Linked DNA regions of Arabidopsis thaliana. The protein of the gene in region 2 binds, or shares a complex with, the protein of the main gene of each other region. Each region holds a gene or a part of one and is shown on either strand. Other genes may lie near its edges. A codon is read from its position in the direction of its gene.

Region 1 (7,096 bases), on a different chromosome or scaffold from region 2:
TATAAATTTATGATCTTTATATATACAATGTTTATAAAATTACCTACGTATTTGTTATTGTTAGTTAATTTGTTATTCTAGATGAACACTCATGCTACGCATGGGTTTTTATTTCTAAAATTGTCGGAATATATGATTATGGTCTTTTGTTGATTTTGATGTTCAGTTTTGCGTGTGTTTAATGTGTAATTAATAAATTTATATCTATTTTATATAGTTATAATTTTTTTTGATTAAATTTATCTATAATTCGAAATATCAATTTTACTATAATATGAATATTTATATACCTATTATTCAACTATTTCACTATCATGAAAACATACAACATCATTTTATGATATATTAATATGTAATTATATTACTTATGTATTTTGAAACTTGTTTAACTTAATTTTAACAAACAATTCTTTATTCCATATATTCTTTCGTCATCTAGTACACCAACCACATCATGATATGCTAGCAATTTAAGTCAACACTTTAATTCTGTTCCTTTGCATATAGCCGTTCCTTTGCATATAGCCATATAGATTCTCATATTTCTGTGTGGATATGTCTAATGCCTCGGATGACCATTACGTGAAAACATTGTATATCAATGTTATCAAGTTATCAGACCGCACAAAAATAAACATAAAGAAGGTCATATGATAAATAAGATTCACATAAAACGTAATAATAAGAAAATATCCAACTAAAATTACTAAATTAATATGAGGTTAGATAGCAAACATCTAAACTACAACACACGTAAATGTTAGCCATTATGGATTAATAACTATTGATAAATTTTTTTTAAAAAATAAGTAAAATAGAATGAAAGTAGTACTTGATACATTATTATGATTTTTTATTTATTGAATGTTTTTAGAAAATTCACTTTAAGAGTGAGATTAATAGAAAATGTAACACAACAAAAAACTTTTAATTTTTCCTCAATTAATTTTACTAATTTGTTTATTTAATTAATGTAGAATGACACATGTCATTTTCTTGTATGATCACTCATATGAAGAGAGTTGACCAACTTTCATATATATGATTCATCACTCTTACAATTTCAACTAAATATTTAGGGCATTTTCATCCACGAGAAATCCATAAAGTTTCTCAAACAAAAAAATATTAATATTATATTATAATTTGATTATTTGATTAAAAAAATATTTTTGTTAAAAAATTAAACCAATAGTAAAAAGAAAATTGTCATGATGGATCGTAAAAAGTATCTCAAAGTTTCTGAAGCGAGAAACTTTCTACAATCTCTCTTTTACTTTTATTATTTTTATTTTTTTAACTATGAAAAATTCTTATGAGATACTACCAATGGAGATAGTTTTAGAGGTTCTTCTATAACCATCCGCTATGGTGTAAAATAAAAACTCATCCACAAACGTAAAACAACTACTCATCCATCCGCAATGATTTTCTTTTTTTTGAAACACTATATAAATTTTAAAAATAAAACGATGAGACTACTTATAAGGTATTTTTGCATATAAAAGTATAAAGTTCAATTTTGTGTGTCGGTGGTTTCCTGATACTCTTGTACTCTTACATTTTCAGTAGCTTTCCCACGTGACCAATTATTTTACTCCCTTTCTTAGTCCAATTATGGTTTTCTAGCACCTCTTTTTATTTGAACTTTTATATGAACTATTAATAGTTCACTTTATAGTTTTTCTTAACATTCACAGGCCCACAAATTTTACAAGAATCAGACATTATTTGCTTTAAATTTGATAAATTTTGCAGTCCTAGTCCTGGTAAATTCAGTATTTCTGTCATATTCAATACCATCAATTTCTAGTGCCATTTTTATGATTGCAAAATCCAACAAAAACAAACAAAACCATGTTGTGGTCTAATGTTTGTTGCCCCAAAACAGAAAGAGGATTCACACAGTCGACATTTGCATAAGACGCAGGAAGTATAACTGGCTTATTAAGAAGATTTAAGGGACGCATTTAGAGATATGGTTATTGCATGAACCATGATGTAGCCATTTAAAAGTTTATGGTTAACTTAACTATTTGCAACGATCGATATTTTATCAAACGATGCTACTGTATAAGTTTCTCATCATATGTCCTAATTCCTCCTTATTATCTACACCAGTTAGACCTGTCCTCCAATTTTACGCTTTGTACATACAGCATTCGGCGAAAGCACATGAACCGACCATTTACACATCCTGAGACAGTGTCGGTCAAAATAAAGTAAAGAACTCAGCACAATACACCCACTACCACTTCCTCCTCCTCAAACATTAACACACCATTATTTTATGTTTTCTTTATTACAGACGTCGTCAAACCGCCGTAATAACTTTTTAATAAAATAAAAATCCACTCGCATTTTTATTTTCAACATTGTGCGTACGGTGCAATTCAATGAACAGTGTTTACTTTCAGTGTGTACACTTCTGCGGACTATTACAAAGTCCACGTCTTATCCTACGTGTTATAATCTCATATGTTACTGTCTGAAATGGACCCCACTACGTAAAAATAAAATTAAGAATCAACCACTCTTCTTCCATCACCTCTTTTGGCTTTCTCTCTACTCTCTCTACTACTCTCTCACCATCACTGAGTTAAGAGAACAAACCAAAAACAAAATTATCAAACCATCACCAGCAGAATCTTAGCTGGATTCATCACTCTATTCAAAAAGTTTCTCTCTTCTCTTTTCTCAGATCTTGAACTCTTGAAGAAGAAAGAAGAAGATAACACAATGCTCTTCTTCTTATTCTTCTTCTACTTACTCTTATCTTCATCCTCCGATCTAGTCTTCGCCGACCGTCGTGTACTCCACGAACCATTCTTCCCTATAGATTCACCACCACCGTCACCACCATCACCACCACCACTTCCTAAACTACCATTCTCTTCAACCACTCCTCCATCTTCATCAGACCCAAATGCTTCTCCTTTCTTCCCTTTATACCCTTCATCTCCACCACCACCTTCTCCAGCCTCCTTCGCTTCTTTTCCGGCGAATATCTCATCTCTAATCGTCCCTCACGCCACTAAATCCCCACCTAACTCCAAAAAACTCCTTATCGTCGCTATCTCCGCCGTTTCCTCCGCTGCTTTAGTCGCTCTACTTATCGCTTTACTCTATTGGCGAAGAAGCAAACGTAACCAAGATCTTAACTTCTCCGATGATAGCAAAACATACACCACCGACAGTAGCCGCCGTGTCTACCCTCCTCCTCCGGCAACGGCGCCTCCAACACGACGCAATGCGGAGGCTAGAAGTAAACAGAGGACCACCACGAGCTCCACCAATAACAACAGCTCTGAGTTTCTTTACTTAGGAACAATGGTGAATCAAAGAGGAATCGATGAACAATCTCTTAGTAATAATGGATCAAGCTCAAGAAAACTTGAATCTCCAGATCTTCAACCACTTCCTCCATTGATGAAACGAAGTTTCCGTTTAAATCCAGATGTTGGTTCAATCGGAGAAGAAGATGAAGAAGATGAGTTTTACTCTCCACGTGGCTCACAAAGCGGGCGAGAACCGTTAAACCGGGTCGGACTTCCGGGTCAAAATCCTAGATCTGTTAACAATGACACTATCTCTTGCTCATCTTCAAGCTCTGGTTCACCAGGAAGATCAACATTTATCAGTATCTCTCCTTCAATGAGTCCTAAGAGATCTGAACCAAAACCGCCGGTTATCTCCACACCAGAACCGGCGGAGTTAACCGATTATAGATTTGTTCGGTCTCCGTCACTGTCGTTAGCTTCTTTATCGTCGGGATTGAAAAACTCCGATGAAGTAGGATTGAATCAAATCTTTAGATCTCCGACGGTTACATCTCTAACAACTTCACCGGAGAATAACAAAAAAGAGAACTCTCCATTATCATCTACTTCAACTTCACCGGAACGACGACCAAATGATACACCAGAAGCTTACTTGAGATCTCCGTCGCATTCTTCTGCTTCTACATCACCGTATAGATGTTTTCAGAAATCTCCGGAGGTCTTACCGGCGTTTATGAGTAATCTCCGGCAAGGTTTGCAATCTCAGTTACTATCTTCTCCTTCTAACTCTCATGGAGGACAAGGTTTCCTTAAGCAGTTAGATGCATTACGTTCTCGTTCACCGTCGTCGTCTTCTTCTTCTGTTTGTTCTTCACCGGAGAAAGCTTCTCATAAGTCACCAGTTACATCTCCTAAGTTATCTTCCCGGAATTCGCAGTCTCTATCATCTTCTCCGGATAGAGATTTTAGTCATAGCTTAGATGTATCACCACGGATATCGAACATTTCACCTCAAATTTTACAGTCTCGTGTGCCTCCGCCTCCTCCTCCTCCCCCACCGTTGCCGTTGTGGGGACGACGGAGTCAGGTGACTACTAAAGCGGACACAATCTCGAGACCGCCTTCTCTTACACCGCCTTCACATCCTTTTGTGATCCCATCTGAAAACTTACCAGTGACTTCGTCTCCTATGGAGACTCCAGAGACGGTTTGTGCGAGTGAGGCGGCGGAGGAAACTCCGAAACCGAAGCTAAAGGCGTTACATTGGGATAAAGTTAGAGCAAGTTCGGATCGTGAGATGGTTTGGGATCATCTTCGATCAAGCTCTTTCAAGTGAGTTAATGTGACATACTCGTTTATATGATACTATATGCTTTTAGTGAGAATGTGGTTGTTGAGATTATGAATGTGGTTTGCAGATTAGATGAGGAGATGATTGAGACGTTGTTTGTGGCGAAGTCGTTAAACAACAAACCAAATCAGAGTCAGACAACTCCAAGATGTGTTCTCCCGAGCCCGAACCAAGAGAACAGAGTCCTGGACCCGAAGAAGGCTCAGAATATTGCCATCTTGCTTCGTGCACTTAATGTCACTATAGAAGAAGTTTGTGAGGCTCTTCTTGAAGGTAAACTATGCTGTCACATACATAGTTTCTCATTTTCTTCTCCTTTGATCTCCAGAATTAGAGTTCTTATGCATTTGTTAATGGTTTTTCGATGATATGGTTGAGTTATTCTGAAAGCTTTGCTTCTTTGATGGTGTGGAGATTCTTGGTTACATTGATGTTCTTAGTTATGCTTTTTCAGGCAATGCTGATACACTGGGGACTGAACTTCTTGAGAGCTTACTGAAGATGGCACCGACAAAAGAAGAAGAGCGCAAGTTGAAAGCGTACAATGATGATTCGCCTGTTAAGCTTGGACATGCTGAGAAATTCCTTAAGGCAATGTTGGACATCCCTTTCGCCTTTAAAAGAGTTGATGCAATGCTCTATGTAGCCAACTTTGAGTCCGAGGTTGAATACTTGAAGAAATCTTTTGAGACTCTTGAGGTATATATTACAAGCTATTCTCTCTCTTTTTACCATATGGTTGTATTGTAACAGATTATGACTTCATTTCTATTGTTTGTGTAGGCTGCTTGTGAAGAACTGAGGAACAGTAGGATGTTCTTAAAGCTTCTTGAAGCGGTTCTAAAGACAGGAAACCGTATGAACGTTGGAACAAACCGAGGAGATGCACATGCGTTCAAGCTTGATACACTTCTCAAGCTAGTCGATGTCAAAGGCGCTGATGGGAAAACAACTCTCTTGCATTTCGTTGTACAAGAGATAATCCGAGCAGAAGGCACACGTCTCTCAGGTAACAATACACAAACAGATGACATTAAATGCCGGAAACTAGGTCTCCAAGTTGTATCAAGTCTCTGTTCTGAGCTTAGTAACGTCAAGAAAGCTGCTGCGATGGACTCAGAAGTACTAAGCAGCTACGTCTCCAAGCTTTCTCAAGGCATTGCCAAGATCAACGAAGCAATCCAAGTCCAATCAACAATCACAGAAGAAAGCAACAGTCAGAGGTTTTCGGAATCGATGAAAACGTTTCTGAAAAGAGCTGAGGAAGAGATCATCAGAGTACAAGCTCAAGAGAGCGTAGCGTTATCACTTGTAAAAGAAATCACAGAGTATTTCCATGGAAACTCGGCTAAAGAAGAAGCGCATCCGTTTAGAATATTCTTGGTGGTTAGAGACTTCCTTGGAGTAGTAGACAGAGTTTGCAAAGAAGTAGGGATGATAAACGAAAGAACAATGGTTAGTTCTGCTCATAAGTTTCCTGTTCCAGTGAATCCAATGATGCCACAACCTCTTCCTGGACTCGTTGGACGAAGACAATCTTCTTCTTCTTCGTCGTCGTCTTCAACCTCTTCGTCTGATGAAGACGAACATAACTCAATCTCATTAGTTTCTTAAGGTGAGATCTCAGCTTTGTCTGTGCATGTTGTTGTAAAAAGTATCCAGTATTGGATTGTTTTGTCATAATAGATTTAAATATATATATATAGAGGGAGGGAATTAATGACAGAAACAAAGAAGTGTTTTTCTTTTCTGCATTTGTGTAAAAAAAATAATATAGGTTTACCTTAAAATTTGTTCATCTTAAATTAATAATTTAAGAATCAAATAAATTTGTTTATCTGAACCGTGTGTACCACGAAAGAATGTGAGAGCAAACATATTACTTACTTACCCTTCGTTGCTGAATATAATGATCATTATAAATCACTACCTCCAGTACCTTCTACCTTCTTCAAAGAACCTTGTTGGATTTGAACCAAAGTTGGAACATAATTGACGAGAGGTGAGCATCTAGATTCTGCATCGTGATGATGATCCACTTTTATCTATTTATTTTCTCTCAAAATGTTTAAGAAAGTGTTGGAGACCTCATTTTACCAGGTAACACTAAAACTTTATTCTCGGGGTCTGACGAAGAATAACAAGTTTACTAACGCTCAAAAATTACATTGCAAAAAGAATATTAAATACAAGAATTACAACAAGAACAAGGGTATTCAAATTACAAATTCTATAGCAAAAAAAAATAAATCTTAAAAAATGTAATAACTGATAACAAACAATTTTACAAGTTCACTAACGCTCGAAATACATTGCAAAAAGAATATTAAACAAGAATTGAGTTAAAATTGTAGAAATTGTTGTGAAAAAATCAATATTGAAATTGTGTTGGAGAGGAAGCAAACTCTATGTGATCGTCAAGTTGTGGAGTTTATGTAATCGTGATTCGTGATCGTGAAGTTGT
Region 2 (4,500 bases):
GAGCATTTGATGTGTGATGTTGGCGATGGTCAAGGACACCACCTTACTGCTGCCGCTATCGTTGGTCATGACGGTAGCGTTTGGGCTCAGAGCGCCAACTTCCCTCAGGTATTTGATTTCATTGCGTCTGATCTCAATGTGATTTAGATCCTGATAGTGTTGCTATCCGATATGATATGTGTTTTTACAATGTGATTTAGATCATGCATCATGTTTTGATTAGATTCTATCAATGTTTGTCATGGGATATATATATAGTGTATTTTGTGTGTGTGTGTTTCTTTTTATATGTTTTGCATAGATTTGAAAACAAATGATGCATGTTGTCTCATGGTAATCGACTAATCGTGATTTGGTCTTTCATATAGTTCAAGGGACAGGAGTTCAGTGATATTATGAAAGATTTCGACGAACCGGGTCACTTGGCACCCACGGGATTATTCATGGCAGGAGCAAAGTACATGGTGATCCAAGGTGAGCCCGGGGCTGTAATCCGTGGCAAGAAGGTAACCTAATCAGTAGCTTCATGATCAGATATGCAAATACCATGTTGAAGAGGGTTCTAATTCAATATATGCTTCTTTCAATTAGGGAGCAGGAGGCATAACGATAAAGAAAACAGGACAGTCATGTGTGTTTGGGATCTATGAAGAGCCAGTGACACCAGGACAGTGCAACATGGTCGTCGAGAGGTTGGGTGATTACCTCCTCGAACAGGGTCTCTAGAATCTTCTTACAATGTTCCACCACCTACATTTTTTTATAAGGCCATTGTTTCTCCTATTTTTTTCCTTTGGGTGATTTGCATCTCTTTCTCTAATTGATATTATAAGTTTTGGGCTAATGGACCTTCCTGGTTTCTCCCCATAGCAAACTTTTAAGAAAGCTGAAGCCTAAAAGGCTTTTACTCTCTTTGCCTTGGTTTCTTATTTATATGCATGTTTTAGTTGTTTTCTCTTTGCTTTTTTGTCAATTGCATTCTGTCTACTACACTAAATATTAACGTATTGATTGAGAAAATTGCATTATCATAATCTATAGAAAATTGTATGTAGTGTAGTAGAGACATTAATCTCACAATACTAAAAACACTTTCAAAATTTACACGAGCATTTAACACATACATCAACACTCATTATTTACAACAGAAGAAAAAACTGATACGCAACGCAATCTTTCCTAGTGATTTCATTCGTAAGAAAGAAAAAATGAACATGAGAAAGAAAAATGGCAACAGGCAGAATTCATTCATCAACTTTAATCTTTAATAGGAAAGTAATAATAGTACAATTATGTCGGAAAATCATTCCCATCCCATCTGTCTTTATTATGTGCTAATCTAACAGCTCATCGAGAAATCGAATCTCAGTCTTTTTTCCCTATTATTACATTATCACTTAGATATAAGGAAATTTTTGTTATCTCACAATATTCACTTTGAATCAATACGATGCACATATAACAAATTAACAATAGCAAGTGATTGTTTCTCTTCAATAACTCAAAAACATTTTTTTTTTTTTTGGAATAGAAAAAGGTTTATTAACCATCTTTCTAAATTTTGGGTAATTAAGAAACATTTATTGACAATGACATTAGGAAAAGAGAACATTAATTGTAAAGGGTGGACCTAAATAATTGGAATATTTTGGTGTATGGCACACAATGCAAGAGCATATCCACCCTGTAAACAAATTATGGCCATACTTCGATCTCTTTTCTTTGATTTTGGAAATTAAATTCTCTAGTATTGTTTTTTTTAGAAAAGAAAAAAAAACTTTTGTATTGTTTATTTATGTAAACTTCATTTGTTCCAATAAAATCTAAAACGTTTTCACATTTGGTTTGACAATTTTATTTACACAAATTTTCAATATACTTTTAGCGTTAGATCAAATTATACCATGCAAGAATTATATGCATTTTCTATATGATCTTGTTTAAAAATAAAAACTGTAGAAATAATGTAAAACCCGAGAAATGAAATTGTTAATAGATTAAAAAAATCATTTCTTTTAACCGGATGCAAATTTTAATCATTTTAAAAATATTTTCTTTTGATTATCATTTTAAAATTATTTATCGACTTTCACACAAAACATTTTGAATTTCATTTGTATCTACTTTTTTTTTTTTTTTGGTATTTCTTTTAGCTGTCTTTATCAAATTCAGTAAATAAATAAAATATGTATTTTAATGGAATTTTTTGCAGTAGAAATTAAAAAAGAGTTTTTTTTTATTGGAAGGCTAAATCGTGTTATTAATAATTTAAGCTCAAAGGTTGTCCAAGTCTACAAACCAAAAGCACGCTACAGAAGAAGAGGAAGAAGAAGAAGAAGCAGAGACAACAAGAAGAAGAAGAAACAGTCTCATCTCGCCGGAGAAGAAGAAAGATGTCGTGGCAATCATACGTCGATGACCATCTCATGTGCGAGGTCGAAGGCAACCACCTCACACACGCCGCCATCTTCGGCCAAGACGGCAGTGTCTGGGCTCAGAGCTCAGCTTTCCCTCAGGTTTTTCTTCCTTCTTCTTCGCGTTTCTTCCGATCCTCTGTCTCAAATAAGTTCATCGATCTGATTCAATCGTCTGATTTAGGTTTATTCCTTGTGATCCGATCTGAGGAAACTTGGATCTGGTTTTGATTTGCTAGCTTCTGACTTGTTCTCTCTGACAATCTGATTTTCTCAGTGATTGATTGGAGTTTGATTCTGAGATTTTCATGGTTTCAGTAGTCAAATCTTGTCTATAGGTGTTTTGCTTGGCACAGAATCTTATCTCCTTTCAATTCATCAAATGATAAAACTTTTCACCAAATTCTTCAAAATTTGGTATTTTACTTGAATTTGAGATCTTAGGGTCATTGCATATGAATTGTCACCTCTGCTCAGTATTGTATAAACCATGTAAAGGATCTGTTGTATTGGTAGTAGTATCATTGCTCAGTCGGTTGAAGCTAATTGCCTACTTTGTTGTTCTTGTTCATGTATTTAGTTGAAGCCTGCAGAGATAGCAGGAATCAACAAAGACTTTGAAGAAGCCGGACATCTTGCCCCAACCGGGCTATTCCTTGGCGGTGAGAAGTACATGGTTGTCCAAGGTGAGGCTGGAGCCGTCATCCGAGGGAAAAAGGTAACATTTTTCATTCGAGAAGACTCTTTTTTTGTGGTTTTGATTGAGATAATGAATCAAAGGATCAGTCTTTTAGATCAGCAAGTTAAAGTCCATGCTTACTTCTTGCAGGGACCTGGTGGAGTCACTATCAAGAAGACTACTCAAGCTCTAGTCTTTGGTATCTATGATGAACCGATGACCGGAGGGCAATGCAACTTGGTCGTGGAGAGGCTCGGCGATTACCTTATCGAGTCTGGTCTCTAAGTTCACTCAAAGTGCTTCAAACAAATTTCATTTTTCGGGTTCTTTCTTCACTAGAGAAGCACCCTTCTGCCATGTATTGTGATTTGATTGTTGTTGTGCATCAAACAAAGTTATTATACTCTTAAAAAGAACAAAGAAACAATCATATTTGTTATGGTTTTGATCCTCTCCTATGATGGCTCTTATGTTTTTCTCTTGTACTGTATTTCGTAATGTATAATTACGCTTTGGAATAAAAATTTGAGTTTGTGATCATTTGTTCTCGATCAGCTCATAAAAATTTTCTAGGTTCAGTCACAAATACATCACCAAGCTTGACATTTCGGTTACGTGGTGAAAGAAATTACCAAGTTCAACAGTTGGGCTAAATTCTAGTTTAAGTTCGCTCACTACTCAAAACTTCATACAAAAGAAGGCGACAGTGCATTCATGTACACACTTGTCACCAAATACTCGAACAAACTACAAAACACGGCAACAAAACAGAGACTGCAACCACCATTTGTCTGAATGCTTCATTGGTTGACGAAGGCGAAGCCAAGGGGGAATCAATGGCAGTTATGTTTCCAGTGATATTACCCGCCATTGTTCTGTTGAATCTGCAAAAGTAACAACAACAACATCAGCAAGTAAGATTCGTTTTTCCAGTTCGATAGATTCAAGATTGAGTAATCAGAGAGAGAAGTCACCCGTCGGTAGCCGGAGCAATCATGTACAAACAGTTACCATAACCTGCAATTTCGAGAGCTCAAATGAGACTACTATGGCTTCACATTACTCTTAATGGATGTGTTTTGGAAAGTGTATGTATACAAATACTTACTTGGATCCTTGTCAACTTCAACGCTGGCTCCATTAAAGCTGCAATCTATGCTGCTTGCTCCGCTCTGTTGGTAATAAGTGTTGAATGCATAAGATGCGTGTGAGAGAACAGTATCTGGTTCAAAGCAAGGTTGGTCTGGTTGAACAGCTGAACAATCAACATTTCCAGGACCACAAGCCCAGTCCAATGCAGTCTGCAGTTCCGTTACCGAAGCTTGTGAAGAAGCAATACACCATTTCTTGGTTCCTCCTCCTCCTCCTCCTCCGATGGTTACTGTCGAGTTACCGTTGATAATTGGA

Evidence for each region. Proteins that work in one complex are often made in the same cells at the same time.
Region 1: the proteins of PFN2 (region 2) and AFH1 are in contact, whole or in part, in a crystal structure (PDB 6IQJ), measured with the Arabidopsis thaliana proteins. Residues at the interface, in NP_194664.1 of Arabidopsis thaliana: Met1 (codon at 2,394), Ser2 (codon at 2,397), Trp3 (codon at 2,400), Tyr6 (codon at 2,409), His10 (codon at 2,421), Trp33 (codon at 2,490), Gln99 (codon at 3,277), Tyr125 (codon at 3,355), Leu126 (codon at 3,358), Ser129 (codon at 3,367), Leu131 (codon at 3,373); in NP_189177.1 of Arabidopsis thaliana: Pro527 (codon at 4,318), Pro528 (codon at 4,321), Pro529 (codon at 4,324), Pro530 (codon at 4,327), Pro531 (codon at 4,330), Pro532 (codon at 4,333), Pro533 (codon at 4,336), Pro534 (codon at 4,339).

What each region holds. Positions count from the first base shown.
Region 1 is NC_003074.8:9,250,470-9,257,565, reverse strand, and holds AFH1 (formin homology 1), read left to right. Parts: upstream 1-2,482; 5' UTR 2,483-2,739; coding exon 2,740-4,613; intron 4,614-4,699; coding exon 4,700-4,905; intron 4,906-5,086; coding exon 5,087-5,331; intron 5,332-5,415; coding exon 5,416-6,246; 3' UTR 6,247-6,473; downstream 6,474-7,096. UniProt on the Arabidopsis thaliana protein: Might be involved in the organization and polarity of the actin cytoskeleton. Involved in polar pollen cell growth process by maintaining tip-focused cell membrane expansion for the polar extension of pollen tubes.
Region 2 is NC_003075.7:14,447,742-14,452,241, forward strand, and holds PFN2 (profilin 2), read left to right. Parts: upstream 1-2,146; 5' UTR 2,147-2,393; coding exon 2,394-2,516; intron 2,517-2,994; coding exon 2,995-3,132; intron 3,133-3,243; coding exon 3,244-3,378; 3' UTR 3,379-3,653; downstream 3,654-4,500. Other genes in the region: PRF4 (profilin 4), read left to right, coding at 1-108, 369-506, 592-726; AT4G29360 (O-Glycosyl hydrolases family 17 protein), read right to left, coding at 3,821-3,977, 4,068-4,110, 4,202-4,500. UniProt on the Arabidopsis thaliana protein: Binds to actin monomers and regulates the organization of the actin cytoskeleton. At high concentrations, profilin prevents the polymerization of actin, whereas it enhances it at low concentrations.